7 linked regions of the Mus musculus genome follow. Each later gene encodes a partner of the first gene's protein in a complex. Links are inferred from orthologs where the notes say so. Each region holds a gene or a part of one and is shown in the gene's direction. Other genes may lie near its edges.

What was found.
Region 2: Nup107 (region 1) and Cetn2 share a complex: the UniProt entries of both Homo sapiens proteins name them as parts of the nuclear pore complex. The link is inferred for Mus musculus from reciprocal best matches to the Homo sapiens genes NUP107 and CETN2.
Region 3: Nup107 (region 1) and Nup85 share a complex: the UniProt entries of both Homo sapiens proteins name them as parts of the nuclear pore complex. The link is inferred for Mus musculus from reciprocal best matches to the Homo sapiens genes NUP107 and NUP85.
Region 4: Nup107 (region 1) and Cetn3 share a complex: the UniProt entries of both Homo sapiens proteins name them as parts of the nuclear pore complex. The link is inferred for Mus musculus from reciprocal best matches to the Homo sapiens genes NUP107 and CETN3.
Region 5: the proteins of Nup107 (region 1) and Nup205 are in contact, whole or in part, in a cryo-EM structure (PDB 7WB4), measured with the Xenopus laevis proteins. The link is inferred for Mus musculus from reciprocal best matches to the Homo sapiens genes NUP107 and NUP205. Residues at the interface, in NP_001091312.1 of Xenopus laevis: Gln134, Glu136, Pro189, Tyr282, Tyr283, Gln770, Ser772, Phe773, Thr774; in XP_041443600.1 of Xenopus laevis: Gly1247, Gln1248, Arg1249, Pro1250, Ser1458, Arg1506, Gln1507, Leu1983, His1991, Gln1995.
Region 6: the proteins of Nup107 (region 1) and Nup133 are in contact, whole or in part, in a crystal structure (PDB 3CQG), measured with the Homo sapiens proteins. The link is inferred for Mus musculus from reciprocal best matches to the Homo sapiens genes NUP107 and NUP133. Residues at the interface, in NP_065134.1 of Homo sapiens: Leu875, Gln876, Ala878, Asp879, Val881, Ser882, Ser883, Glu884, Tyr889, Lys894, Leu897, Arg898, Leu900, Leu901, Gln902, Arg905, Ser908, Leu909, Leu912, Asp917, Pro918, Leu919, Tyr921; in NP_060700.2 of Homo sapiens: Trp937, Leu938, Ile941, Asn942, Gln944, Leu946, Tyr963, Ala965, Lys966, Lys968, Thr969, Leu970, Gly972, Leu973, Lys975, Leu976, Ala977, Leu979, Ala980, Ser981, Asp982, Ile992, Glu999.
Region 7: Nup107 (region 1) and Nup153 share a complex: the UniProt entries of both Homo sapiens proteins name them as parts of the nuclear pore complex. The link is inferred for Mus musculus from reciprocal best matches to the Homo sapiens genes NUP107 and NUP153.

Annotation. Positions count from the first base shown.
Region 1 is NC_000076.6:117,779,206-117,782,705, reverse strand, and holds part of Nup107 (nuclear pore complex protein Nup107), read left to right. Parts: intron 1-645; coding exon 646-749; intron 750-1,257; coding exon 1,258-1,385; intron 1,386-1,979; coding exon 1,980-2,028; intron 2,029-3,500. UniProt on the Homo sapiens protein: Plays a role in the nuclear pore complex (NPC) assembly and/or maintenance. Required for the assembly of peripheral proteins into the NPC. May anchor NUP62 to the NPC. Involved in nephrogenesis.
Region 2 is NC_000086.7:72,915,545-72,919,470, reverse strand, and holds the start of Cetn2 (centrin-2), read left to right. Parts: upstream 1-1,126; 5' UTR 1,127-1,154; coding exon 1,155-1,157; intron 1,158-2,624; coding exon 2,625-2,783; intron 2,784-3,077; coding exon 3,078-3,206; intron 3,207-3,926. UniProt on the Homo sapiens protein: Plays a fundamental role in microtubule organizing center structure and function. Required for centriole duplication and correct spindle formation. Has a role in regulating cytokinesis and genome stability via cooperation with CALM1 and CCP110.
Region 3 is NC_000077.6:115,581,444-115,584,424, forward strand, and holds the end of Nup85 (nuclear pore complex protein Nup85), read left to right. Parts: intron 1-298; coding exon 299-416; intron 417-495; coding exon 496-596; intron 597-1,433; coding exon 1,434-1,585; intron 1,586-1,641; coding exon of another isoform or gene 1,642-1,769; intron 1,770-1,882; coding exon 1,883-1,984; intron 1,985-2,277; coding exon 2,278-2,379; 3' UTR 2,380-2,481; downstream 2,482-2,981. UniProt on the Homo sapiens protein: Essential component of the nuclear pore complex (NPC) that seems to be required for NPC assembly and maintenance. As part of the NPC Nup107-160 subcomplex plays a role in RNA export and in tethering NUP96/Nup98 and NUP153 to the nucleus.
Region 4 is NC_000079.6:81,786,247-81,789,746, forward strand, and holds part of Cetn3 (centrin-3), read left to right. Parts: intron 1-596; coding exon 597-711; intron 712-3,500. UniProt on the Homo sapiens protein: Plays a fundamental role in microtubule-organizing center structure and function. As a component of the TREX-2 complex, involved in the export of mRNAs to the cytoplasm through the nuclear pores.
Region 5 is NC_000072.6:35,187,616-35,191,115, forward strand, and holds part of Nup205 (nuclear pore complex protein Nup205), read left to right. Parts: intron 1-1,008; coding exon 1,009-1,153; intron 1,154-1,480; coding exon 1,481-1,640; intron 1,641-2,239; coding exon 2,240-2,468; intron 2,469-3,500. UniProt on the Homo sapiens protein: Plays a role in the nuclear pore complex (NPC) assembly and/or maintenance. May anchor NUP62 and other nucleoporins, but not NUP153 and TPR, to the NPC.
Region 6 is NC_000074.6:123,939,266-123,942,765, reverse strand, and holds part of Nup133 (nuclear pore complex protein Nup133), read left to right. Parts: intron 1-1,623; coding exon 1,624-1,731; intron 1,732-3,500. UniProt on the Homo sapiens protein: Involved in poly(A)+ RNA transport. Involved in nephrogenesis.
Region 7 is NC_000079.6:46,725,050-46,729,173, reverse strand, and holds the start of Nup153 (nuclear pore complex protein Nup153), read left to right. Parts: upstream 1-1,324; 5' UTR 1,325-1,700; coding exon 1,701-1,814; intron 1,815-3,659; exon of another isoform or gene 3,660-4,124. UniProt on the Homo sapiens protein: Component of the nuclear pore complex (NPC), a complex required for the trafficking across the nuclear envelope. Functions as a scaffolding element in the nuclear phase of the NPC essential for normal nucleocytoplasmic transport of proteins and mRNAs.

The DNA of each region.
Region 1 (3,500 bases):
CACATGCATTCAGTCCCAGCACTCAGCAGGCAGAAGCAGAGGCAGACCTCTGAGTTTGAGGTCTCAGAGTGACTGGTAGATAGAGAAAGTTCGAGGCCAGCCAAAGCCATCTTGTAAGCCTCCCAAAAAGTGTGTGTGTGTGTGTGTGTGTGTGTGTGTGTGTGTGTGTGTGTGTGTGTGTGAAAGAGAGAGAGATTGAGAGATTGAGAGATTCACATTTGAACATACTGAGGCCCCTAGCACAGTAGCACACTTCTGTAATCCCACATTTTAGAGGTGGAGGCAGGAGTAAAGGTTTTTAAAAAATGTACTGTGTGTGGTACTTTGCCTGGATGTGTAGACGTGCACCATGTGAGTGCCTGGTGCTCTTGGTGTGCAGAAGGAGCCATCAGCTTTCCTAGAACTGGAGTGATGGTGGGTGGTTGTGAGCTTTTGTGTGGTGTGGGTACTGGGAACCAAACCTGGCTCCTCTACAAGAGCATTGTGCTCTTGACCACTGAGCCAACTGTCTCTCCAAGTCACTAGTTCTTACAAATACAGTTATGGAAGGAGGGAAAGATGTGTAGTCACCTTGGTGGCTTTGGTGCAATAGAATGTGTTAGTGTATGGAACTGACGTGGTGCTCCCTTGCTCCCTGTGTTTTAGCATCCATGAGCATGTTCTCTGATTTCCTGCACTCTTTCTTGAAGCACTCTTCAACCACAGTCTTTGATCTCGTAGAAGAATATGAAAATATTTGTGGTAGTCAGGTAAGTGAATTCTGTCCTATGTTTGGTCAGCTTAAGTGCTTGGAGTTTTCTTGTCTCTTTGGAGAAAAAAAGAAATCTGCTCCTTAGAAAAGAAAGTCTGAGGCTAGAGAGACAGCTTAGTGAGAAAACGTCTGAGTCTGCGAGCATGGGGGCCTGAGTTCAGATTCCCCGCACACCAGGGCCATGGCTGTGGGGGCAGCAGGGCAGATCCAGGAGGCCATCCCTGACAGGAGTGACAGACGCACCCTTACTGCGAGATGCCGATAGTGAGGGAGGGCGTCCGTGCGGATGTGGGAGCAGGAATGGTGGGTTCTCTAGCTTTCATTCAGTTTTGCAGTGAACCTAAAAGTGCTATTTATAAAGCAAGGAACAGAACTTCAGAAAATGGTCATGTGTGAGAATAAGCGGAATATTGGCTTGGGAAGCAGCCAAGCAAATAAAGTGTTAGCCACACAGGCAACTGAGAGTGGTAGGCAAGCAGCCTCTTATGTCTGTGTTCTTCCCGTAGGTGAATATCCTCAGTAAAATAGTGAGCCGCGCAACGCCTGGACTGCAGAAGTTTTCCAAGACGGCCAGTATGCTCTGGCTTCTCCAACAGGAGATGGTCACATGGAGGCTGCTCGCCTCTTTGTACAGGTAACTTTCTGTAGAGCTCACAACTCCTAAGTGAGACGAACAGAAGCTAATAAGCCAGTTCGGCAGATGAATTCAGTGTTAATGAGGGGTAGCCTCAGCATAGGTTTGCTGATCTTGGGATTTATCATTCCTAATACTTGAGGTGTGGAGAGTATGTTATGAGGAAGAGGGGCCATCAGGTCATAAAACTGGGAGCTACAAACTTACCAGTCCATAGCCAGACAAAGCACAACACCCGTGTGATCCCAGGAGGCCTAGGCGAGCCTGGGCTCCAGAAAGTAAGGGAAGAAAGAGACCTGGTGGTTTGGGGTTTTATTATGCAATACTGAAAGATTTGCTTAATTATGCTATATGAAAAGGTACGTTCCTTTGGGGGTGCCTTCAGGCTACAGTAGTGGTTGCCCTTTGTGCTCGGGTCTTGGTACTGGAGTGATGATGTAGTTACTGCTTACTTCCTTCATTAAAGGTGATGATGGAGCCCACTGCATCTCATTGGTTTCTACGCCGTCACACCACAGAGTGTGGGACAGCTTACCAGGTGGCTTCATGCATTTGTGTAAAGTAAAGCTTTTTCATTTGTGTTCTTTTCCCCAGAGACAGAATACAGTCTTCATTAGAAGAGGAAAATATGTTTGCAATTGCTGTAAGTTTTCTATGAATTTTTTCCGTCACAGGTTTTTTCCATTACGCTTTACAGATTTGATTTTTCAACCCTCCATTTGCATTTCCCCATTAAAAAAGATTTACAAGTACAGAGATGATGTTCAAAGTAATCAAATGTTTATAGTTATGGGTAAAAGTTCTTTTTATCCCTCAAATTATTTAACGTAATAACTTGGATTAACATCCTATCAGATGTTTTCTGTGTATTTTTATACATACACACATAATCAAATTACTCTTGAGTCATTTGTTCTGTTTTTCTTTTCCCTTTTTTGAGACAGGGTGTGGTTTTTGTAGTCCAGATGGCCTCAAAGTCACCACCCTTCTGTCTCCCCATCTTGAGTGCTGAGATTATAGATATACGCCATCACACCACACATCTTATATTGGTTTTATTTATTTATTTACTATTGGGCATTTTCTGAGAGTCTCCTGAAGTATAAACTGGCCTCTGAAGTATAAACTGGCCTAGACCTGTCTGTCGGGTCAGAACTGCCGGGATTATGAGGGAGCAGACGGCACCCAGTCAGGCCTCATGAATGCCAGGCATCTCTGCCAGCTGCGCCACATCCCAGCACATGGCTTTTTGTTTTGCTTTTTAAAGATTCATTAGTAATAAATCTGTATGTCAGCAATAGTAATTTTATATGGGGTTATCTTTTTTCCTGTCCCCCTAACCTCTTATTGTTATGTGTATGTGAAGATATAATTGCATCTTAACTGTTATAGACTATTTTACTTCTCTATTTTGGAGGCAACTGTCTCATTTTAATATGTAAATTCTTGGTTACTGTTAAGAAAGGAAGTTTGTTTGCTGACAGTTGGAAGGAGACTGGAAACGGTCAGTGGTCTTTTGGGGTTTTGTTTCTTTTAGCTTCTGTTAACAACTTTCTGTAGTTTATCGTCATCGTGGATTGTAATGATAGCTTTCCTAATACTACATTATTTCTGTAAAGATGGGCCATGTGGTATTCCTATATGTACTTCTTGATTTTATTAGGCACACTATTTAAGACTTTAAGGTCTGTGGTATATTTCTATAGCATCCTCATATAATCTTCATCTATAGGATTATGCAAGTTCTTCAGAACAAGTTCAAGAAAAAAGGGTTGGTTTTTTTTGGTATATGTTTTTTGTTGAAGAATGTGCACATTAATTTGTTCACTGAAGGATGAGCAAAACTGTCTGTGACAGCAATGCCTTCAAGGAGTCAGGCTGCTGCTGGCTCTCTCCTACCCCAGAGACACCCCAGCCCCTCCCTGGTTTTGGTTTTAGTTTCTGAAATAAGGTCTAGTGTAGGCACAGCTCCAAATTTTATCACTTTATGAAAGTGTTTTACCAGCATATATGTCTGTGTACCACGTGTGTGCCTGAGAATTCCCTGGAACTAGAGTTCCGGTGGACAGTTAGGAGCCCCCGTGTGGGTGGATGATGGAAATCAACCTCATGTCC
Region 2 (3,926 bases), on another chromosome or scaffold:
GAACTGTGAGAACTCAGAGGCTGGATATGGGGGATTGTTGCTGCAGTGAACAAAGGAGCCAAACAAGACACAAAAGTTTTGAAGCCGGTTCCTGGCTTAAAGGAAAGAGGGCAAAGGGCCTATATTACATTTATGGGGAGCTGTTAAGTCTCAGGCCTTTCTCAGTTTGAGAGACTGATACTGTGCCCTTAAAGTCCCTAAACTGATTTTCTTTGCTTTGAGGGACGTAGAACATAGAATCTGTGTTCGACCCTGGGCCTTCATTACTCCTGGCACAGCTCCAGGTAGCCCCAACCCGTTGTGCACTTTGCCCTTTAATTCTCTTTACATTCCATACTTCCAAAACTCCTGTGGCTTTGCTTTCAAGGGAGTCTCATTCAGGAATGCTCCTTCCCATGTGACTTGAGTGTCTGTACGTCTAACAGGACACATTTTGATGAGTTTTGAAGATCTAAAAGTCCCCAGCCCATTCCCCTGAGAGCTAAAGTGACTCTTGTAGAGCTAATGTAAAGACAAAGCCTCATGTGGATTGGGTTTCTAAGCCCCAGCCCTGTGAACCACTGACACAATACTCAGCATGCCCACTCCAGTTTCGAGGTCTCAGCTTCTCCTGGCACAGTCACCCCTCCAAACCATTTGGTCATATCTTGCTGGCCCCTCAGATGTTCTGTGTCCCCCAACTCGGTTTTAAAATGGGTCCCACCCATTCCCTCCTACTTCCTCCAGGCTCTGTCACCCACACGCAGCAGCCTCTAAGGGCAAGCCCGCAACTCTTACCCGGTTTAGACACTCAAATGATCGACCTCAGCTTGCAGACAACCGGCAACCAGAGAAGTCTGGCTGAACACCCGCCACCCTTTTCTACTGATAGATATGAGCCCACAATCAGCAGAGCTTCCTTCATAATGTTGATTGGTCTAGCTTGGCTCTGGCGCAACCAATTGACGCTCACAGCATGATTTTGCCCAATGAGGCTAGTCTTTGGCTGCCGACGCACCGCCCTCTTGCTCTTGGGCGAGTTTTGCCAGGTTAGCCCCACCTCTTCGTTCCCAAACCAATGGGAAGCGGGCTGTGCGCGCGTGGAGCAGTGGGAACGCCGCTGAGGCTGCGAGTACGCCGTTGCCTTAACAACCGGTGGCAGAGTCCGTTGGGTGATGGTAAGTGCTAGGGATTCGGTGGACCCCACGCGGCGTCCCCGGTCCTTTCCTAGGCCTCGGTGCAGCCTTGCTACCTTTCTTGCACGGTTCTTGGCGTTGACGCACTAGTTCTTCCTTGGAGCTGTGTGCCGGAAGGGTAGAAGAGAAAGTACAGCCGCCAGCAGCTTGCCTTGCCTGCTCTTTCCCACTACCCCCTCCTCGCCCAAGTCACCTTCAGCCACCCCCGCACAAACTGCCTCTGGACCTCCGCTGGCTTTCAGGAAACAGCAGGGTGACCATTCTATTGCTTCCCTTAGACTTCCGCCTCAGTCAAACTCAGGCCTCCTGGCCGCGGCCACCCAGTTAAAGTTTATGCATTGGTGCTAAGAGGTTTACTGTGTTCTGATGGTCGCAAACGCTTTCAGGAGAGGCTGTGAGAAAGCACGCAGGTGCAAATGGTTTGATTTTTATCACTTTGTACCGGCATAATTTTTATCTTAGTAAGTTTACATTTAGCCAAATTTAGGCATAAGTAATTGGAGGAGCAGAGTTCTTGGGAACTGGCACCACAAGTAGATGTTTTAAGTACATTTCTAAAACCGAGAGTACGGAAATCATATACAGTTGATCATCCATAACTGTAATTGGTTTCTCAAAGAGCTTTTGATGATGCTTTTTTAGATTTAAAAATGACTGAAATTGAATCTCCTAAAGTGACACATGGATTAATGGTACAATTGCATGAACTTTCTGTAGTATAAACTTTAAGACAGTGGAGGTCAGAGTTATGTCTTCTCATGAAGGCTATGTTAACACTAGAAATTCATATTCATATATTCACTTGCTCTATGTTGATCTATACAAGAACAAGGAGGAAAATGGTAATATACTATTTTAAAACAAAAACTCTCTTCTATTTGGTGGCTCCCCAATGAAATATAGTTGAATTTAGTCATATGAGACATCACATTAAGACAAATTTACAGTTATATTAGAAAATAACCTCATTATTGCCAATTTCTTTTTTTATAACTTAGTAAAAACTGACATATATAAATTGAAATAGTTTTAAGTTGAGAGAAAGTTTTTTCTTCACAGAGGTTTGTGCTATTTGTCATTTAGAGTTGGGGTTAATTTTATTTTAGTTTTTACACTTATTATTCCTTGGTGGAGAAGCACATTTTAGCCTGAGTGTGGCGGTCAGAGAATAATTTGGAAGAGTTAGTTCTCTCCTTTTACCATGTAAGCATCGTTTCCCTTTTCATCTTTGACAACGACAACTGAAGCCTGGGTCCTGGTTCCCACTTAGGTTATCAAGCTTGGCAGCAAGAATTCTCACTGGCCCATGGAAGTTTACGTAATGACATAAGTACATTACAAACGATGGCACACCTCATTGAAAAAGATATGTATGTTTAGAGCTGTCATAAATAAAACAAGGACTATGGCTTGTAATAATGTGCTTCTGTGTTTATATATTGTGTGAAGGCCTCTAATTTTAAGAAGACAACCATGGCATCCAGTGCCCAGAGAAAAAGGATGAGTCCTAAGCCTGAACTTACTGAAGACCAGAAACAGGAAATCCGGGAAGCTTTTGATCTCTTTGATGCTGATGGAACTGGAACTATAGACATCAAAGAACTGAAGGTAAGCTGCACACATCCTTTTCTTTGTTACCTTGTGTTTCCTTATTGCTTGTCTTTTAGCTGTTACCGTTCTTCTCCTTTCTGCCTGCAAAAAGTAACAGACAAGGGTACCCTGTGTATATTTTACCTGAAACAATGGTCTAATTGATAAAGTTGATTGCAAATATCAATTAAATCAGCCTTAAGTGTTCCCTGATCATTTCCATCATTTTATCAGGTGTTTGGTTAATATCTTCAATAGTCATTTTTGTTTTTACGTTATGTATCTATTTAGATGATTCTGTTTTCATTGTAGGTGGCAATGAGGGCCCTGGGCTTTGAGCCCAAGAAAGAAGAAATTAAGAAAATGATAAGTGAAATTGATAAAGAAGGAACAGGAAAAATGAACTTCAGTGACTTTTTGACAGTGATGACTCAGAAAATGGTAAGTTAGTTAAGATAATTAGCATGCTTTCTACCCATAATGGTAGAAACATGAGAATCTAGACATACAAAGAGCTTTATCCAACAAAATCTATCCCTTCCACATGGGAGAAGATAGTATTTTTAATTGAGAGGATCTCTACGTTTCATTTGGCTTTCTTTAAGGTATTAGCATTATCTTGTTTCATGTGGCCACATGATAATCACAAGCAGTAAAAACTTTTAACACCGAGATTTTCAATGCTAGTCATTTTTGGTTTTAATTTATTATTATTAAAAATTAAATTATCATACAATAAATCAGGTGTCAATCTGACATTTTCAGACAAATGGTTCACACTTAAGATTGGTTCCTAGATTATTCTTCCACCTGAACCTCCTGGCAAGAACCTTCCTGAAATAGCTGAGGTTTGAACGCTTTCAGAAATTCTGCTCTTCTGCATTACAAGGACTCAGGGCCCTGGTAATTCTTTGAAGGCCATTGTGAAAAATACCTCTCTCCTCCTCTGCCTTTATCAGTCTATCTGTTTTAGCAATGTATTTTCCCTGACTACAACCCTACTCACTGCTTCTATATTTTAAAAATGAATCTAGTGTCTGCTTGTTTTGTACAGTACTTTATATACAATTATATTTCCTATGTAACCCCTGAGTTTATATTCACTTTACTAAGTATGTTTTCTTTTTTTTTTTTTTTTTTACAATGTACCATACTTGTTTG
Region 3 (2,981 bases), on another chromosome or scaffold:
GAGATTTGTGTGGTCTCAGGACAGATAACGGTGGGACTATTAATGTGGAGGAAAACCAAGATCTTTTTTGCCACCCAAGGACAAACACTCAGAAAGCCAGTCTAGTGAGTGGGTCATCTGTGGTATGAGCAAAGGAAAGACAAAGAATAAACGGAAGTTTCTGGTTTTCTCACTTAGCTGTAGATTGAGTACTTTAGGTTGTAGTGAGGCTGTCGGAAGGCCGAGCCTGTCCCCACAGGGCTTTTCACAGGAGGATTATAAGGTGTGAGCCTTTGCCCTTTGTCCTTTCTCCTGCAAGTTAAAAGCATCTGTAAGATCTTGGCCATGAAGGCTGTTCGTAATAACCGCTTGGGCTCAGCACTCTCCTGGAGCATCCGTGCCAAAGATGCTGCCTTTGCCACACTCGTATCTGACAGGTAGGTGAGGCTTTGTGGTTGGCTGGAGCTTGAGGTGGGCCTAGGATTGCTGCTCTCATCTTTGGGTTGGGCCCTGCAGATTCCTCCGGGATTACTGTGAGAGAGGCTGCTTTTCTGACTTGGATCTCATTGACAATCTGGGGTCAGCCATGATGCTCAGTGATCGACTGACGTTTCTGGGTGAGTCTTGTCATTCTTTCCCCTGGGTATTCCAGAGTGGACACTTGGGGAGATGGACAGCCAGCCTTTGCATGTGTTAGCCTTTGCATAGTTTAGTAACATTTTGTTTCCCAATAATTCCAAAATTAGGGAAATAAATAGCATGAGAAACACATTTTATATACACTTTTCATACTCATTTTTTGAAGACAGGGTGGCACTGTGTACCTCTCTGGCTGCCCAGGCTAGCCTCTCACACAGAGAAGTTTTTTAGCTTTCCCTCCCCAAGGCTGGGATTATGAGCCTGGAAGAGTTTGGTATGGTATCCATGTCCAATTCCCATCATGCTTCCACCAGAGATTTTTTTGTTGCTTGTGTGAGCTGGCAGTTCACTGCAGGAAGAGATTAGTGTCTCAGACCCTCTACCTCATGTACATCACCAGGATTCGTGGAGTATTTTAATCTTCTTAAACTTTTGTTTTGTGTATGGGTGCTCACCACATATTGGCCTGGTGTTTGCAGAAGCTAGAGGAGGGTCCCATGGGACTGGAGTTGGTCAGTTGTGAGCTGGCATGTGGGTGTTGGGCATTGATTCATGTCTTCTGTACAAGAAGAGTGAGTACGATTAGCAGAACCATCTTTCCAGCGCTCTAACTGATCTCTCACTGCACTACTGACACTTCCCCAAGGCTGGTGCTCATAAAAATCCTTGAATCCTACCTTTCATTGATTTGTGAACTTGAAACTGTTCTAGAAACAGTTCCAGGTATATGGAGTCCTAGTTTAAAGCCAGGATAGCTTTTCTAAGTATCAGGTAAGTAGAGAGGAATTTTGAGGTGAACTCACACCCCTCAACAGGAAAGTACCGGGAGTTCCACAGACTGTACGGGGAGAAGCGCTTTGGTGACGCTGCTTCTCTTCTGCTGTCCCTCATGACCTCTCAGATTGCACCTCGTTCTTTCTGGATGACTCTGCTCACAGATGCCCTTCCTCTTTTGGAACAGAAACAGGTAATACTTGATCACATCTGACCTATCTGTTCTGTGCCTTTGGTGGTCTTCCTCAGCTGGCTTCTGCAGCCATACAGAAGCTCATTTACGCCTAAGCAGTACCGTGTACACGTGTCCAAGGCTCGAGCACCAATCCACTATTCATTTCAGAACAGCTGGAAGATGCCTCACTAGAGGGATGGATGTAAGACTTAGGAGCATACCAGCAGCCCAGGGCTCTGTATGCAAATATTTCTCCCTGAAGACTTTGGAGCTGTGCCTGTGGAGCAGCTGAGTGACGCAGCCTCTTTCCCCTAGGTGATTTTTTCAGCAGAGCAGACATATGAGCTGATGCGGTGCCTGGAAGACTTGGCCTCAGGGAGGCCAGAGTGTGGTGAACCTGATGCCCAGCGACTGCAGGTCATTTTAACTCCTGGGAAGATGATTGTGTTGAAGTGGGGAAAGATTTCTGTCTCAGGATTTCCTCCCATTATCCTGCCATCTTGAAACATTAGCCTTTTTATGAATTCATGTGCCTTTTAGCTATTAACCTGTTCTGTAACACCAACTTTTAGGAGCAAGTCTTCCCACTGCAGAGCCAAACTTAGTATGCTATACTGGTCATATTCTGAACTGTAATCGTAGGTTCAGATGGCTCCATGCTCTCCTGGAATGCTGCCTGTTGCTCCTCACACTGTTTTTCTGCTCTTTAGGATGACGACATAGAGACCACCAAGGTGGAGATGCTGAGACTGGCTCTTGCCCGGAATCTTGCTCGGGCAATTATAAGGGAAGGCTCACTGGAGGGTTCCTGAGAGAAGATGAGGACAGTTGCAATATAGTAACTTTGTATGGCAATGTAAATAGATTTTAAAGAATAAATTGTTTTGCAAATATAAGACCAATTGTTAATCCTACCAAGGAGGTTTTAAAATTGTCTATTCTGAACCTGACATTGCAAAATGAACAATAGTTGCCTTTAAGATGGATGTTTCCACTCCTGGCTTAAGAGCTCATTGATAGAGAATAGCCCTGCTCCGTCTCATTAGAGAAGCCAGGGACCCACGGGACTGGTGCAAGGGGATTAATCCTGCCCAGATGAGGTTGAGGCCTTACCCAACTCAGCCAGTGACCTTGGAACACCCTCTAATTTCTTTGGTTAGCTTCTTTAAACACAAGTTTCAGAAACTAGTTGGAATTCATAGCATGGTGTCCCACCGCTGTGCTCTGTATTGAAAGATGCCAAGCAGGGTGAAATGGTTTTATTTCACATGCAGCAAAACAAGGGCAGGAGGTGGTACAACCAGTACAGCTGTACTGACTGAAGCAGTGACCTCAGTAGTAGTGAGCAACACTCATAATTTAAATCTTTAATGACCGTATTGACAGTGATCCCATAGATGTTCCAGCACCGAAG
Region 4 (3,500 bases), on another chromosome or scaffold:
TTTCCTGGTACTAGTAGCAGTTTTCTGTTTAAACTCAGTCATCTGAAACTAATTGTACCATAGTAGCTAATTATGTATGCTCTGGTGGGAAAGCCGATTGCTTGCTTGTTTGTTGAGAAAGGATCTTAATGTGTATCCTATACTAGTCTCAAACTTATGACAATCCTGTCTCAGTCTCCTGAGTGATAAGATTATAAAATTCCACTGTGTCAACCATGGAGGCCTGAAATTTTTCTGCTTTTTTTCCCTGCTTTTATGCTTTTGTCTAGCCTTTTAATAGTTGTGATATGTCTTTATTCCCTTGGTAACAAATAGTTATCTTTGTATTTAGTGCATCGTTTTATATATTTTTTGTAAATTCTTTTTAATTAGTTGGTCATATAAAACAGCAAAATGCCAATGAAAATAATTTCTATTTATTTTCAAAGTGAAAAACCAGGATGTTTCATAGTCTTAAGTTAGAGGTAAAAATACAGAATAATTGTGCTTTAGTAATCTGCTGTTGTCTTTTAAGATGGAAAACTTCCTTAGAAATCACTGATGACTTCTTTTGTAAGTAGTGCTTTACAATTTGTTTTTCCTTTTTAATCCAAAAGGTGGCAATGAGAGCCTTGGGCTTTGATGTGAAAAAGGCTGATGTGTTGAAGATTCTTAAAGATTATGACAGAGAAGCCACTGGCAAGATCACATTTGAAGATTTTAATGAAGTTGGTATGTACTTAGTCGCCTTTATACCCAGTACTTGTTGGAAAATTACGAGATTTTTGTATGTTTTCAAAAGAAAAAACATATTTCTAGCTATACTGTGAGAATTAGTGTTGGCTTTTGATGATTTCTTGAACGAGGAATTGTTGTCTAGATTTTATGGTTTATTAAAATTAATCACTAAAGGGTAACCAAAAATTATTTCTTGCCAGTAAAATAGAAGATTTAGTATCCTGATGTTTAAGATTATTAGTGAAGACTGCTGTGCGCTGTGACTTTTGTTAGTACAGTGGAGAGAAGAAGGAAGTAGGACATGGTGTCTTGGTGGGAGATGGGGACATGAAGTCCATCTTGTTAAGTTGACAGCTTGTTAGGCTCTGTACTCACTAACCTTAATCTCAGGGACAGTGCTGTGCTGTAAAGTTGAGACAACAGCAACGACACTGTTGTGAGGGATGTCTTTGGCAGGGTAGAAATAGGAGCACTTAGGAAATGCCACCTGAAGATGGTGGCAGCTTACTGTAGTTGGATCTTGGATAGTGATCTTAATGAGTTACTCAGGATGAGTTACTCAGGGTGTATACAGTTAAAGATTTTTCAATAGAAGATTCTGGAAGGCTAGGAATTGGCTACTGTAACTTAATTATATTGCTTACAGTGTTATATAGACATTATATGAATTATTTTGTTAAGTTACTGACCAATGATACCATTTTAGGGGTCATAATCTAAGCATGTAGTTATTTTCATATATTAAAAAATTAAAACTAATACAATTATATGTATATACAAAACCTTTATTTAAATATTAAAGACATAATACAGGAAAGAAAAGAAATGGAATGAGAAGGCAGATCCCCCCCCTTAGGAAACTCATAAGAGCACCACAGTGAAGTTAGCACAGGCTACCTTGGAACCAGATTCCAGGCTTCAGATCTGGGTTCTGACTCTGTAACTTGGTTAGTTTACTTGTCTGTGACTCGTTTTCATCGATGAAATGGGGACCAGTGTAATGTGGTTTCTGGGAGGTATGTGGGTGATGAGCATGTGAAATGTTAAGCACTGTACTGGATAGTAAGAGCTACTAAATGCTGGTGTTGGGATTAAGAGTAGTCCCAGCACTCAGCACAAAGAAGTAACCCAGGCTCTGGAAGTTTGAAGTCCACCTGGTCTGCATGAGGAACCCCAGGCCAGACAGGGCCAATGAGACCCTGTCTCCAAGCAAAACACTCCAAGAGTTTGTGCCAGGCAGAGAAAATAGTGCTTCCTTTGATGCAGAATGCATTTGTATTGTTGGGACATTAAAACATTCTATTCTATAATCTCATTGTTTTATTTTCTGTCTTTAACTTTTGAAGGCTATTTTAAGCATTATTATTCAGAGTTTTGTAAAACATTTTTTCATAAGTACTATTCTAAGTATTGCAGATTTTTATATTTTACTACTTCAGAACAGAGTTTCATATCACCTAAACCTTAGCTTTATGGACCATTTGTTGTTGCCTAAGGACACTGTCCCACAGATATCTGCAGATGTGCCTGGCTTATTGGGCTCTCCCCATGATGAGAAAACAGCCTTAAAGTGCATTCAGTGCAGGCTACCTAGCGTCCATCCGTCACTCGGCTGAGGCCAAGGAGGAGCAGGTGCTTCCGGAATCTCTGCTCTTAAAGGAAGGTCAATAGAAGTGAGAGATTTTCACCTCATCTGTTCTTGGCTTGTATTTCTTACATTTTAAAATCCTATCTAAAATAAAATGTTACAGTGTTTTCATTTTGAGTATTTATCCAGCACTGAAATTTTTGCATTTGGCGGGATGAATGGTAGTTAAGATTACCAAGAAATTGTGGTGAGGGCCTTAGGATGTAAGTGTAGTAACAGGACATTTTGATTCTGTGTGAGAGAGATTGCTGTCTTGGGTCAGAGTTGTTACCTGTAGCCCCGGGACTGAACCGAACTGTGCTCTCTGTGCGTCCCACATTTGTGGACGCTGCTTCTCTGCTACCAAATAGCATAGCAGTTTAGACTGTGAGCTTAGGACCCTGAAAACCTAAAATGTTTCCTATCAGGCCTTTTATAGGAAATCTTTGTCAAGCCTTCACCCAGGAAAATTTAAGTTTTTGCAAAGGGAATTTTTTTTTTTAACTTAAATCTTTAGGGATAGAAGATGTCCAAGAAGATTGTAGGAGTAGAGTAGATGCAGTCTAGCATAGAAGTGACAAAGCGGCATGGTACTACATGCTCAGCACGATGAGAAGCTTGATCTCATGCAGTCCCCTCTGTTAGAGGAGGGTCAGAGCACTGGGACGGCAGCCTTGAGTCAGACTGATGGATGGTCTTACGTAGTGAAGGAAGATGGGACTTCAGTCAGCGGAGTTTAAGGAATGGGAGTTTGTATTTTACAACAGTAATTGATGAGAAGGTCAAAGATGAGCTGAAGCGATTTTGGAGGCAGAAAGTTCTAGACTTTATGATCAAGATTGTTAGGGTGAAAAGAAAGAGACTCTATTTGAGAGTAAAGTAAGATAGTGTCTTCAGAACTCTAGTGTCCAATACTTGGATAATTAAGGGACATTTATGGGGTTGAGGGTAATGCCACTGTTTCAGAGTCAGTAATGCAGCTACCTTTCCTTCAGTGGAGGTCTAAGAGGCTGTGAAGCCCATAGAAGGACTTGAAAGTCCAATATTTTTGAGTTTGAAGTAAGTATTAAATGTTTGGATAGGAACTAACTTCTCTCTCTCTCTTTCTTTCTTTCTGTACTTTTTTTTTTTAAAAATGTAAGAGTGCTTTGTTGTG
Region 5 (3,500 bases), on another chromosome or scaffold:
TATTACTGGGGGACTGAAGCAAGCATGTACAATCCTAGATGACCTAGGAGTCAATTTGTGGCTGCTACATAGAGATCAGTATTTCCATAAAAGAAGCAATTCACTAATGATCACAAAGGAGCCATGTGAAGAAGATACATACATCTTAGTTGAATGGTTGTTGAGTTTCTTTAAATATACCATGTAACTACTAAAATCCTTTTTGACCAAAGAAAATTAGTTATTGAAGATAAGGAAGGTAGTTTTCTCTTATGTGAGGGGATGCTAACTGGACATACCTGAGATTTAAATTTAATTAAGATTTTCTTTTTTATTCTGGCAGAGCTGGAGATAGAACTAGGGCCTTGTGCTTGCTAGGCAAGCACTGTATCACTGAGCTGTTCTCAGCCCAGAACTTTGATTTAACAACATGTCCTCTGTATTTACCATGCTCTAGATACTATGGGAAGGCTGCTATAAAGGAACACAGCCTGGTGATTTAAGAAAGACATGGGAGTGGTTTTGACAGGAGGCAGTGCAGAGTAGATCCTGAAAGGAGGAAACTTGCAGACATTTGCAAGGGTTCACATGAGTGGTGAGAGAGTGGGCCCAACATAGGAAATTAGAGAAGAAGTGAAATTGAGTTGGGAAAGTGATGAATTTCTTGTTCTTTTGTTTGTTTGTTTGTTTGTTTGTTTGAGACAGGGTTTCTCTGTGTAGCCCTGCCCTGTCCTGCCCTGGAATTCACTCTGTAGACCAAGCTGGCTTTGAACTCAGTTCCACCTGCCACTGCCTCCTGAGTGCTGGGATTAAAGGTGTGTGCCACCACCTCTTTAACTGTGCTGCTTCTTGTTATTGGTACCCTGGCATATGGTTGATGGGCCTTTGAATCTGCTATGCCAGGAATGATGCAGGGAGTAGAAACCCTAAGGGTCCCCTTAACATTAAGACCTGCTTATTTGAATACATTTTGGCATACGTTTCAAACACATTTGAGCTTTATTACTAAATAATCAATTCCTTTTCTAGGAGAGCATCAGCAGCCACATTTCCCTGGCCTCACCAGGGGATTGGTAGCTGTCCTTTTATACTGGGATGGAAAGCGGTGCATTGCAAATTCTCTCAGAACCCTGATACAGTCTAGACGAGGAAAGACATGGACATTAGAACTCAGGTCTGTTTGCCTTTGGGGACTTACAGGGTTAATGTGAAATTACTTGAATTTGAGTTTTGGAAATAACAGTTTTTCCTTAGTGTGTACCCTTTCAGTAAACTGTAAGCTCAGGTCAATAATATACTGGACTACTCTTTCCAGAGTAATACCTTAGTTTAAACCTGACTTATTTGCAAGTGAAAAATCACAGAGATTTATTTAACTCCAGTGATTTAGAAAGGGTAAAAAGAACAAGACTATAATTCATCCTGGTTGTTTGTAATAATAGACTGTTGTCAAAACAGTATCTTTATTCGTTATAGCTTTGTTTGTTTCTTTTCCTTGCAGTCCAGAGCTGGTTTCCATGACAACACGCTTTACAGATGAGCTGATGGAGCAAGGATTGACTTACAAAGTCCTTACTTTGCTGTCACAGATTGATGTGAATAATGAGTTTGAGAAACTACAGAGAGAGAGAGGTTTGGGCAGTGAGAAACACCGCAAAGAGGCAAGGGTTCTATAAGATGACCTCATGGGTGTCTTTGACAGATGTGGAACAGAAGAGCTTACAGAATATTCATTTCACTTAGGCAGATGAAAATACTGTTTTATCATCATTGCTACTGGTTTCCTTTTCTTTTTTCTTTTTTCTTTTTGGTTGGTTTTTTATTTTTATTTATTTATTTATTTTTGAGGCAGGGTCTTACTATGTAGTAGTCGATTGATCCAGAACTTGCTATGTAGACTAGGCTAGCCTCCAACTCAGAGATCCACTGCTTCTGGGATTAAGAGTATGAGCAATCACCCCTGTGGCAATACTGCATTTCAAATGTGTAGACTGCTCTGCTCATGGATTGTGCCTGCATTTGTTCCAGTTGCTGTGCCTCTGTTTATGCCTTGTCTAGTTTTTTCTGAAATGAGTTTTTCAAGCAATTGGTCAGCGTGGTTTCTCAAGGACTAAACCTCTAGAATTTATTCAGAATCCCAGCAACTTTACGAGCATGTGTGGATTCATATCAGTTAATTTTGTTAGCCTTTATGGAAGACACTGTTTTGTAATGCCAGACCTTGCTATAACTTATGTCACAATCATATTGTTACTTGTAGGTTTCTGATCTCATCAAGGAGTGCAGGCAGTCTCTGGCTGAAAGTCTTTTTGCCTGGGCTTGCCAGTCACCATTACCCAAAGATGACACCCTCCTACTTATTGGACATTTGGAAAGAGTGACAGTTGAGGCCAATGGCTCCCTAGATGCAGTGAATCTGTGCCTCCTTATGGCTCTTCTGTACTGTTTTGATACCAGCTTTATAGACCAAAGCACAGAGGAACGAGATGGTATTGAATTTTACATTTTATCTTTTTTAAAAAAAATATTTATTTTTATTTTATGCACATTTGTGTTTTGCCTGTGTGTATGTCTGTGTGAGGGTGTCAGACCCCCTGGAACTGATTTTATAGATAGATGAGAGCTGCCATGTAAATGCTGGGAATTGAACCCTGGTCTTCTGGAAGAGCAGCTAGTGCTCTTAACTGCTGAACCATCTCTCCAACCCCTACATGTTTGTTTGTTTGTTTGTTTATGTATATATGTATGTATACTTAAACACACATATATGTGTGTGTGTATATATATATACACATATACATATACATATATATCATATATACACATATATATGTATATATATATATGATTATTTTAATGAATGAGTACACTGTCACTGACACACCAGAAGAAGGTATTGGATCCCATTACAGATGGTTGTGAGTTAGTTACCATGTAGTTTCTGGGAATTGAAGTCATCACCTCTGGAAGAGCAGCCAATGCTCTTAACAACTGAGCCATCTCTCTAGCTCCAGCATTTATATTTTTTAATGCTTTTTTTATTCTTAAGAGTCTCATGTATGGTCTAGGTTAGCCTCAAACTAATTTTTTAGTTACATTTATGTGTCTGTGTGCGCATGTGCCAGAAGACAACTTTCAGGATCAGTTGTTTCCTTCAACTATGTGACTTGAGGAGGTAAGCTTAGGTTGCCAGGGCTGGCAGCAAGCGCTGCTACCCACTGAGCCATTTTGCTGGTCTGGCCTCAAACTCTTGATCTTTCTGTTCTAGTCTTCTGGGTGCTGGGATTACAGGCATATGCTAACATACCCAGCATGTGCTAACACAACCACCAATACATTTATTTTCAAAAATAAAATTTTAAGTTGTGAGGGAACATTCAAGAAGGACAATATTTTAATTTCCAAAATACAACTTTTCTTCTTTGTTTCTGTCTGTGCAATCCAGGCAAGTTTGAAACATTTTAAATGTGCAATGCAATTTAAGACTGAGGCCAAACTCTGTAATGGAGGAATTGCTTACC
Region 6 (3,500 bases), on another chromosome or scaffold:
TAGTGCACATACATGCATGTAGGCAAATTACTTGTGCATATAAAATTAATAATTTTTTAAAAATTAAACAAAGCAGCCCAGTGTGGTAGTGCATGCCTTTGGTTCCAGACTCCTGAGGCAGAGACAGGTCGGGTGAGTTTTTGTGGATTCAAAGTCAGTTTAGTCTACATAGTCTTGAATTTCAAGACAACCAGGGAAAGAAAGAGTAAAAGGGGAAAGGGAAAGTGTGTAGAGAGAGAGGAAGAGGAAGAGAAGAAGGAGGAGGGGAGAGAAGAAGTGAGGAAGGAGCTAATCCCGGATCATCAGCATGGTGTTCTCTTACTCTAAGCTCCTATTTTCTCTTCCTACTTTAAACTCCAAAAGGATTATCAGGTGGGGAGAAGAGGAGCCGTGCCTTTGGCTAACATCAACTTTAAATATGAGTGGCTTAAGATGCCAGGGAGGAATTAAATGTTGGCCTTCAATGTAGAGTAAATATAGACCAGCAGCTCTCATTGCCCTTATCCTCAGCCAAACTTGAGTTCCTTACCTTGATAAAGGAAACCAGACCCAATCCAACAGGCTCCTCCCCTACACAGAGAGCCCTTCTGTCTTATCCTTTCCCACCTGAAGTGCTTTGGCCATTTAATAGTTTTTAAACAAAATCTGTATTATTTGCACTTAATAAAGTTAGATTAGAGGCTTTGAGAATGTCCAGGGACCACAGTGCTGAGCAGTGCCTATAGAAATCTAGCACTGGTACGGCCCACACAGCTGAGACCTGAGCATGCTTGTTTGTGAGTTGGATTCATAGTGGTAAAATGACATGAGTTGCTAGGCCGACCTTGGTGGACAGCTCCCAACAGTGGAAGCATTGGTGACACTTCTAACATCCTCTTAGCCTCCTCTCAAGACCATCTCCTAGCTGTTGTCACTAATGTGGGTCATCGTCCCATGGGAGCATGGGCTCCTTCCTGCCTGAATCTTGGTGTCTGAAGACTTGCCGCCCTCCTTGGCTACACAGAAAGGATGTGTACTTAGAAGTAGGAGGGGGGATTCTGCATGTGTACTGAGTTAGCAGAGGGAACTGAGTGTACAGCTACAAGCCTAAGAAATAGTTTGATGGAGACTTGGTGTAATTTCTCTCTGACCATAATAATTTTACATGTCAAATAGATATTACCTCAGCTAGCAAAGTTTTGCAGGAAACTTGGCCACTTCCCCTAGCCCAGTGGTTCTCAACCTGTGGGTCATGACCCCATGGACATCCCATATCATATTTACATTATGATTTATAACAGCAAAATTGCAGTTAGGAAGTAGCAATGAAATAATTGTCTGGTTGAGGGGTCACTGCAACATGAGGAAGTGTATTAAAGGGTCACATCATTAGGAAGGTTGGGAGCCACTTGTAACAAGTAGAGCCCTTGGCCTGGCATGACAAGCACAGACTGGTTCATATAGAGGTCCATTTTAGCGTCCATGTGTCCCTGACTTTGTTGTTGATCAAAAAGAGCTGAGAAAAGAAGGATATTGTGGAATAGTGTTTCAGGATGGACTCAAAGTATGCAGAAAAATTAGAGGCGCCAGAATGAACAAATTGGGTTGAATGTAAAGGTTTTTCTATCTGGGTTTGTCTTACAGTTGTCTGTCTGCAAAGAACTCCAGCTGCCCCCTAGCGATTTCCACGGGAGCGCTGATTTGGTGGCCCTGTCTTATGCTGCGACCTCAGGTGAAGTCCATTCTGTGCAGGTAGGTGACTTGGAAATGACTGGAGGCTCAGCGGGTGGGAGCCTGTGGGGCTCATACAGAGAAGATGGGCTCAGTGCCCAGCACCCACTTTGGGTGACTTATGATTGCAAGAAACTCCAGTTCCAGGCGACCCAACACTCTTTTCTGACCTCTGCAGGCACCTGCAAGCAGGTGGTGAACGTACAGACAAGCAGGCATACATGCAGACACACATTTCTTACAAAGCTAACGGAGAGCCTGATGTGGAGGTACACACTTAATCCCACCACTGGGGAGGCAGAGATGGGCAGAGCCTGGTCTTCGTCAAATTCCAAGCCAGCTAGAGCTAGACAAGGCAAGTCCTCGTCTCAGACAAACAATACTTTTTGTAAAATAAGAATATGAAACAGCAAGATGCAGCCTGAGGAAATACTCATAAATCCAACTTAAAAACAGAGATGGCCCAGAGGTTAAGAGCTTGTTGCTTCTGCCGAGGAACCCAATTTAATTACAGCAGCCACATGGTGGTTCACAACCATCTAGAACTCCAGTTCCAGGGAACTGGATCCCTTCTGACTTCCACAGGCACCAGGCATGTACATATGCATGTACATACACGCAGGCAAAACACTCATATACATAAAATACATAAACCAAAGAAAAAGAAGAAAGGAAAAAAAAGCAGGGCAGAGTCTTCAGGAGACACAACTTTACCGTCAGCACATGAGGAGCTGTGTGGCACTGTCAGCCGTTAGAACAGTGCACACAGCACCAGTGGGGCACTGCTGCCCAGCTGTAGAGTGGCTGAAGAGCCTGACGCTGCCTGCCAACTCCACTGCATGCTCTTATGCTAGGTTCCCAGGGTCGTTTCCTCCCCATGACTCCCCCAACCCTCTTGAACGCAGGGTTTCTCTGTGTAGCCCTGGCTGTCCTGGAACTCACTCTGTAGACCAGGCGGGCCTTGAACTCACAGAGATCACCTGCCTCTGCTCCCCAGTGCTGGGATCTGTAACCTAGCTTTGGCTGAGTCTCCTGCATCTCCCTGCTCCCTGTCCCTCAGATCCCATGTGTTTATTACCAGCCTCATCACCCTCCACACTGCTTTTTCTCCTCCCTCTTTAGTTTCCTGGCCTCTATGCACACTCGTCGCCACAGAAAGAAAAATATGTAAGAAAAGCTAAGATTGCATGTGAGAGCAAACAAAGTGCTTGTCCCTCCGAGCCTGGACCTCTCAATAGAATATTTTCCAGTTCTGTCCACCCACCTGCAAATCTTATAATTTTGATTGAGAAGTGGAAAGTTAACACAAAGGTCACTTGTGTTACAGCAGTTTTATTTGCATCTCTGGAGCTGTCCTTTGACAGACAGCTCAGTCACATGTGCACGCGGTAACTCAGGTGAACCTTGGGGAGCTGAGGAGGAGAAGCACAGCTGCAGCTCGGCCCTGTTGGTTTTGCTCTCTGCCTTCTCAAAGTGCCAGAAGTTAAGGGATGGAAACTGGTTCCTCAATAAAACGGGGAAGGGCAGCTGTCAGGTCTCATCAGGAGTGGGTGACAGAACTGCTGGGTGTCCTTATGATGGGTGCTAACACCATCTGCACATGGGGAGGTTCACGTGTGTGAACAGTTTACTGTTGCTTATTCTTTAAAGAATTTTGATGGGCATGGTTGTACACAACAGTAATCCCAGTACTTGAGATGCAGAGGCAAGCAGATCTCTTCAGGGCTAGACAGGGCTACACAGTGAGACCTTCTCTAAAATAAATAATTAAATATATAAAATAATAAAAT
Region 7 (4,124 bases), on another chromosome or scaffold:
CAAAAAACAAAAAAACCCTGGGTTATAGTCCTGGCTTTGAGTGCCCAATTAGATATCCACCCTCTTTTATTTTTTTCCAAGTCAGTTCTCTATGCAGCCCTAGCTGTCTTGGAAAACGCTTTGTAGACCAGGCTGGCCTTGAAGTCACAGAGATCCATCTACATCTGACTCCTGAGTGCTGGGATCAAAGATGTCTGTCACCAGCCAGGCTCTAAATCGATACCCTTAATGGTGCCCCTTAAATTTTCTTGGTTTCCATATAGTCCATTGAATGACTAGGCTGGACCACATGATCACACAGACCTTTTGTCTAATGCCTGCATCTTTAACACGGTGTATCCGGTCTTTGAGGATACATTGTTTAGTCACCTAACTATAATATTAACTGAAGCAAATATATGTTTACTAGGGATATATGAGTCACCCTTAATGTGTGTTGATTGCATAGGTCATAATTGCAACCATTTACTGCGTTTCTTGTATACCAGGAAATCTACTGGGTGCTCTCTACACAGACGACCGCACTAGCTCCCCACAACTTTATAAGGTAGATTTAAATAGTAGAGTCATCCAAGGTCAAGTTTGTAAGTAGTGAAGCAACTCAGAATGCCAGCACGGTGTGTGTTGACAACAAAGCCCTTATATGTTTAATGAAACAGTAATGAAGTTGTATTTTTTGCTTTCGTTGAGACAGAATCTCACTATGAAGCTGAGGGTAATGTGTAACTAGCCATTCCCCTGTGTCTGCCTCCCAAGTGCCAAATGCCTTTCCTACTTTGTTTTTGGCCTGGGGATCGCGGCCACGGTTAATTTCAACGCGGTCTCCCCCCCCCCCCCCCCGGATTGTGATGCATTATGGTTCTTTGATTTTACTGTTTACTTCCATTCGGCTTATAATTGATGAATGGGAGATTACAGTATTCGTGTCGAGTGCCCTTCTGAATCTAAACAAGCAGCCAACCGCCGCCAAATGACCCGGGCTTTGTGCCTCTGCGGTGCTCCGTGGGTGTCCTTCCGCTATAGCCTGCCTTTCCGAGAATCCGCGTTCTGGCCAGAAAAACTACATTTCCCAGAGGCTCCCACGACAGGGAGCGCGGGCTCGGCCAACCCTTCCTTCCTTCACCCATCCCCCCCCGCATTGTCGCAGCGTGATGACGCAAAGCGTCGGTCGCGGAGGAGTGACGGTGTTCTGGCTCGCGACCGGGGCGGCCGCCTCAACAGCGGTAATAGGCGCAAGAGCGGCGGCGGCGGCGACGACTGCAGGGACGACGACGGCGGCGGCGGCGGTGGGGCGGGCGCAGCGCGCACAGGGGGAGGGGTTGGCGGGCGGCGCCAGCGGCCTGGACTGCGGCAGCGACGGCCAGGGCGACTGAAGAGGAGCCTCTAGCAGCGGGCGGTCGAGCTAGGCCTCAGCGGCGCCCGGAGCTGCTCGCGCCGGCCTCGGCGGGAGATCTCCATAGAGACGGTGACAAACACAGACGCGGGGGTCCGCACGCGGCCGGCGCTCCTCAGCCACCTCGGGGCCCTCAGCCGCCGCCACCGCCTTCCTCGCCGCCGCGCGCACTCTCAGTTCCCGCTCGCTCCCTCGCGGTTCTCGCTGTGTCTGTGTGTCGCCTAGGGCCGGGCGGGGGAGGCCCTCAGGCCGCCGCCTCTGCCTCTCCCGCCCGGGAGCGGTAGTGGGAGGCCGCCCAGGCTCCGCCATGGCCTCGGAAGCCGGAGGCATAGGAGGGGGCGGCGGCGGCGGCAAGATCCGGACTCGTCGTTGCCACCAGGGGCCGGTGAAGCCTTACCAACAGGGGCGACCCCAACACCAGGTACGGGACCGGTACGCCGTGGCGACTGGGCGGCTCCGGGCGGTCTCTTTGGGGGGCGGTGCGAGGACCCGGCGGCCCCACGTGGAGGGGACCAGAGGGCCTGAGGCTGGACCCGGGTGGCGACGGGAAGTGGGTAGAGCCTGGCCGGGCCTGGCGGCAGACACGTGGGATGCGAGCGGCCTCTCCCAGCCCTCCCGCCCAAGGGCTTTCCCTGGCGGGCACAGGGCGGGAAAAGAAATCTCAGGCTTCGGATATTCGGGCTGCTGCTGCTGCTGCTGCTTCTTCTTTTTTTTTTTTTTTTTTGGCGGGTTTTTGGGGGTTAAATGGTATTCCTCACGACCTCACGAAGGGAACAAGGGAAAGATGTGGCAACAGGCCCATCCGCTGGCAGGCTTTTTCTTTCTTGTGTTCCCGGGTTCAGGGTGCGCGGGGAGATTAATCTGCCACCGCGGCCCGGAGAGACTTGGGGAGGGGGCGCTGTTACCCATATCGTGGAATAATTTCGGTTTTAGACGCGTTAAATCATTAATGGTAGTCCGGTCCCCTCGTCTGTCTGCTTGGCCTTTCCAGATCGGAACACACTGGTTTAGCTTCTCATCCTTTCCTCTCTTAACTGAGTTATAGTTATGTGGCACTGAGGCGTTTTGAAAGTCCCTCGCCGCTCTTACGTCTGGTCTCTGATGCGTGGTTCTTCCCTCTCTTCTCTCCACCCCGCTCTATATACTGAAGACCAGAATCATCCACTCTCTACAGTTGACCAGTTCTTCAGCTCTGATCTCATACACCAAATATTTTTAATACTGGGCGTTTTCTAGAAGTTTAAGGTATTTCGGGCTCACCAGGGGTGTTACTTAAGCCACCGTATGCCTTCTTTGGGTGTTTATAAAAATGTCGATTCTTGTTGTAAACGAGATAGTTGGTTCAGAGAACACTTTCAGTTATTAAAAATTGTGAGAATTAAAACGTTAAAAACTCACTTTAACGAAGCCACTTTTTAAAAGTAGGAAGTGTATATTTTAAGCTTACTGAAGAAGGGCTAATATATAACTTGTTGCATACTCTTAAATGTAGACTTTTTGTTTATTCTGGCTAGTGCTAAAATTGAATACTTGTTGGTAATGTTAAATTATATCACTTTTGAGATTTTTAAAATAAAGATAGGGAAAGTTTTGAATAGAAACAGCTGTGTTTTATGTACTAAGAAGTTATTTGTCATTGCTTGGAAGCCTTGCAATATTACCATTTTCCCTGAATGCTGAGGAGCCCGGGGTCTTCAGAAGCAGACTTTAAGATTAAAATCAGGTCACAAGCCTGGCCGTTTTACTTTGCCTAATACTGTACAATGGACATTAAGGCAAACATACTCTTATACTAAGAGTAATGAACCACCTCTGATTGCTTGAAAACAGTTTGAGCAAAGAAATGGATGGCTTGGATAGAGTTTAAAAAGAAGCCAATATTATGTATGATATTATGATAGAATTTAGAAAGAAGCCAAAGTTATGATCACAGCTTATTTTAAAATGTATTTAGGTTAAAAAAAAAAACCAAACTAATTTGAGAGAGAAGTGCATTCAACTAAAACCAAACATGTTTTAGAGCTGGTACAGATTTCAAGCTGTATGGTTTTAGAGCTCAGTAGTTCTAAGACATGTTAGCTTCTTGCCTCAGTCATTTAATTTAAAATGTAAGTACATCTTAATTTGAACTGGAATTAAAGATAACTCTTTTTTGGTTAGCAGATTTAATTTTGGCAGAATTGACCAAAGAAAAAAGTGTTTAGGCTTATATAAAAGTATGCAGCTCAGCTTTTGTTTCTGTCTTAAAGTAAGTAACTAGTCTTACCTCGGACTTAGTGGATGTCATTGTCCTCTACTAGCCGAGCTTGTCAACTGGTTGTTTTGCAGCAACTGCTGAGTCATCATCTTGGATATATCAAGGAGTTTCATGACATGGCATGTTTCATACTAATGCTTGATAAGTGTCCATGGCCTCTTGGCAGACTGAAGAGTTGTGTTAGACTCAGAGTAAGCAGGCTGGTGCTTATTGGTGAATGCAGGACAGCAAATGTCAGGCCAAGGAGCTAGCTACTGCAGTCACCCAGTACCTGTGACTCCTGTATCATGTTCAGTTGATTTCTGATTTCCTGTTTTGACTTCTGGTTTAGGTCTTCTGGGAAATGTTTAAACTTTAGCATTTTTCTACTTTTAACTTTCTTCCTTTTTCTTTTTCTTTTTTTTTTTAAAGCCACCTTGCTTGAAGTTGTGGAGCTAGAAAGATATTGTCTTGATCAACCAGATAAAGGTCAAA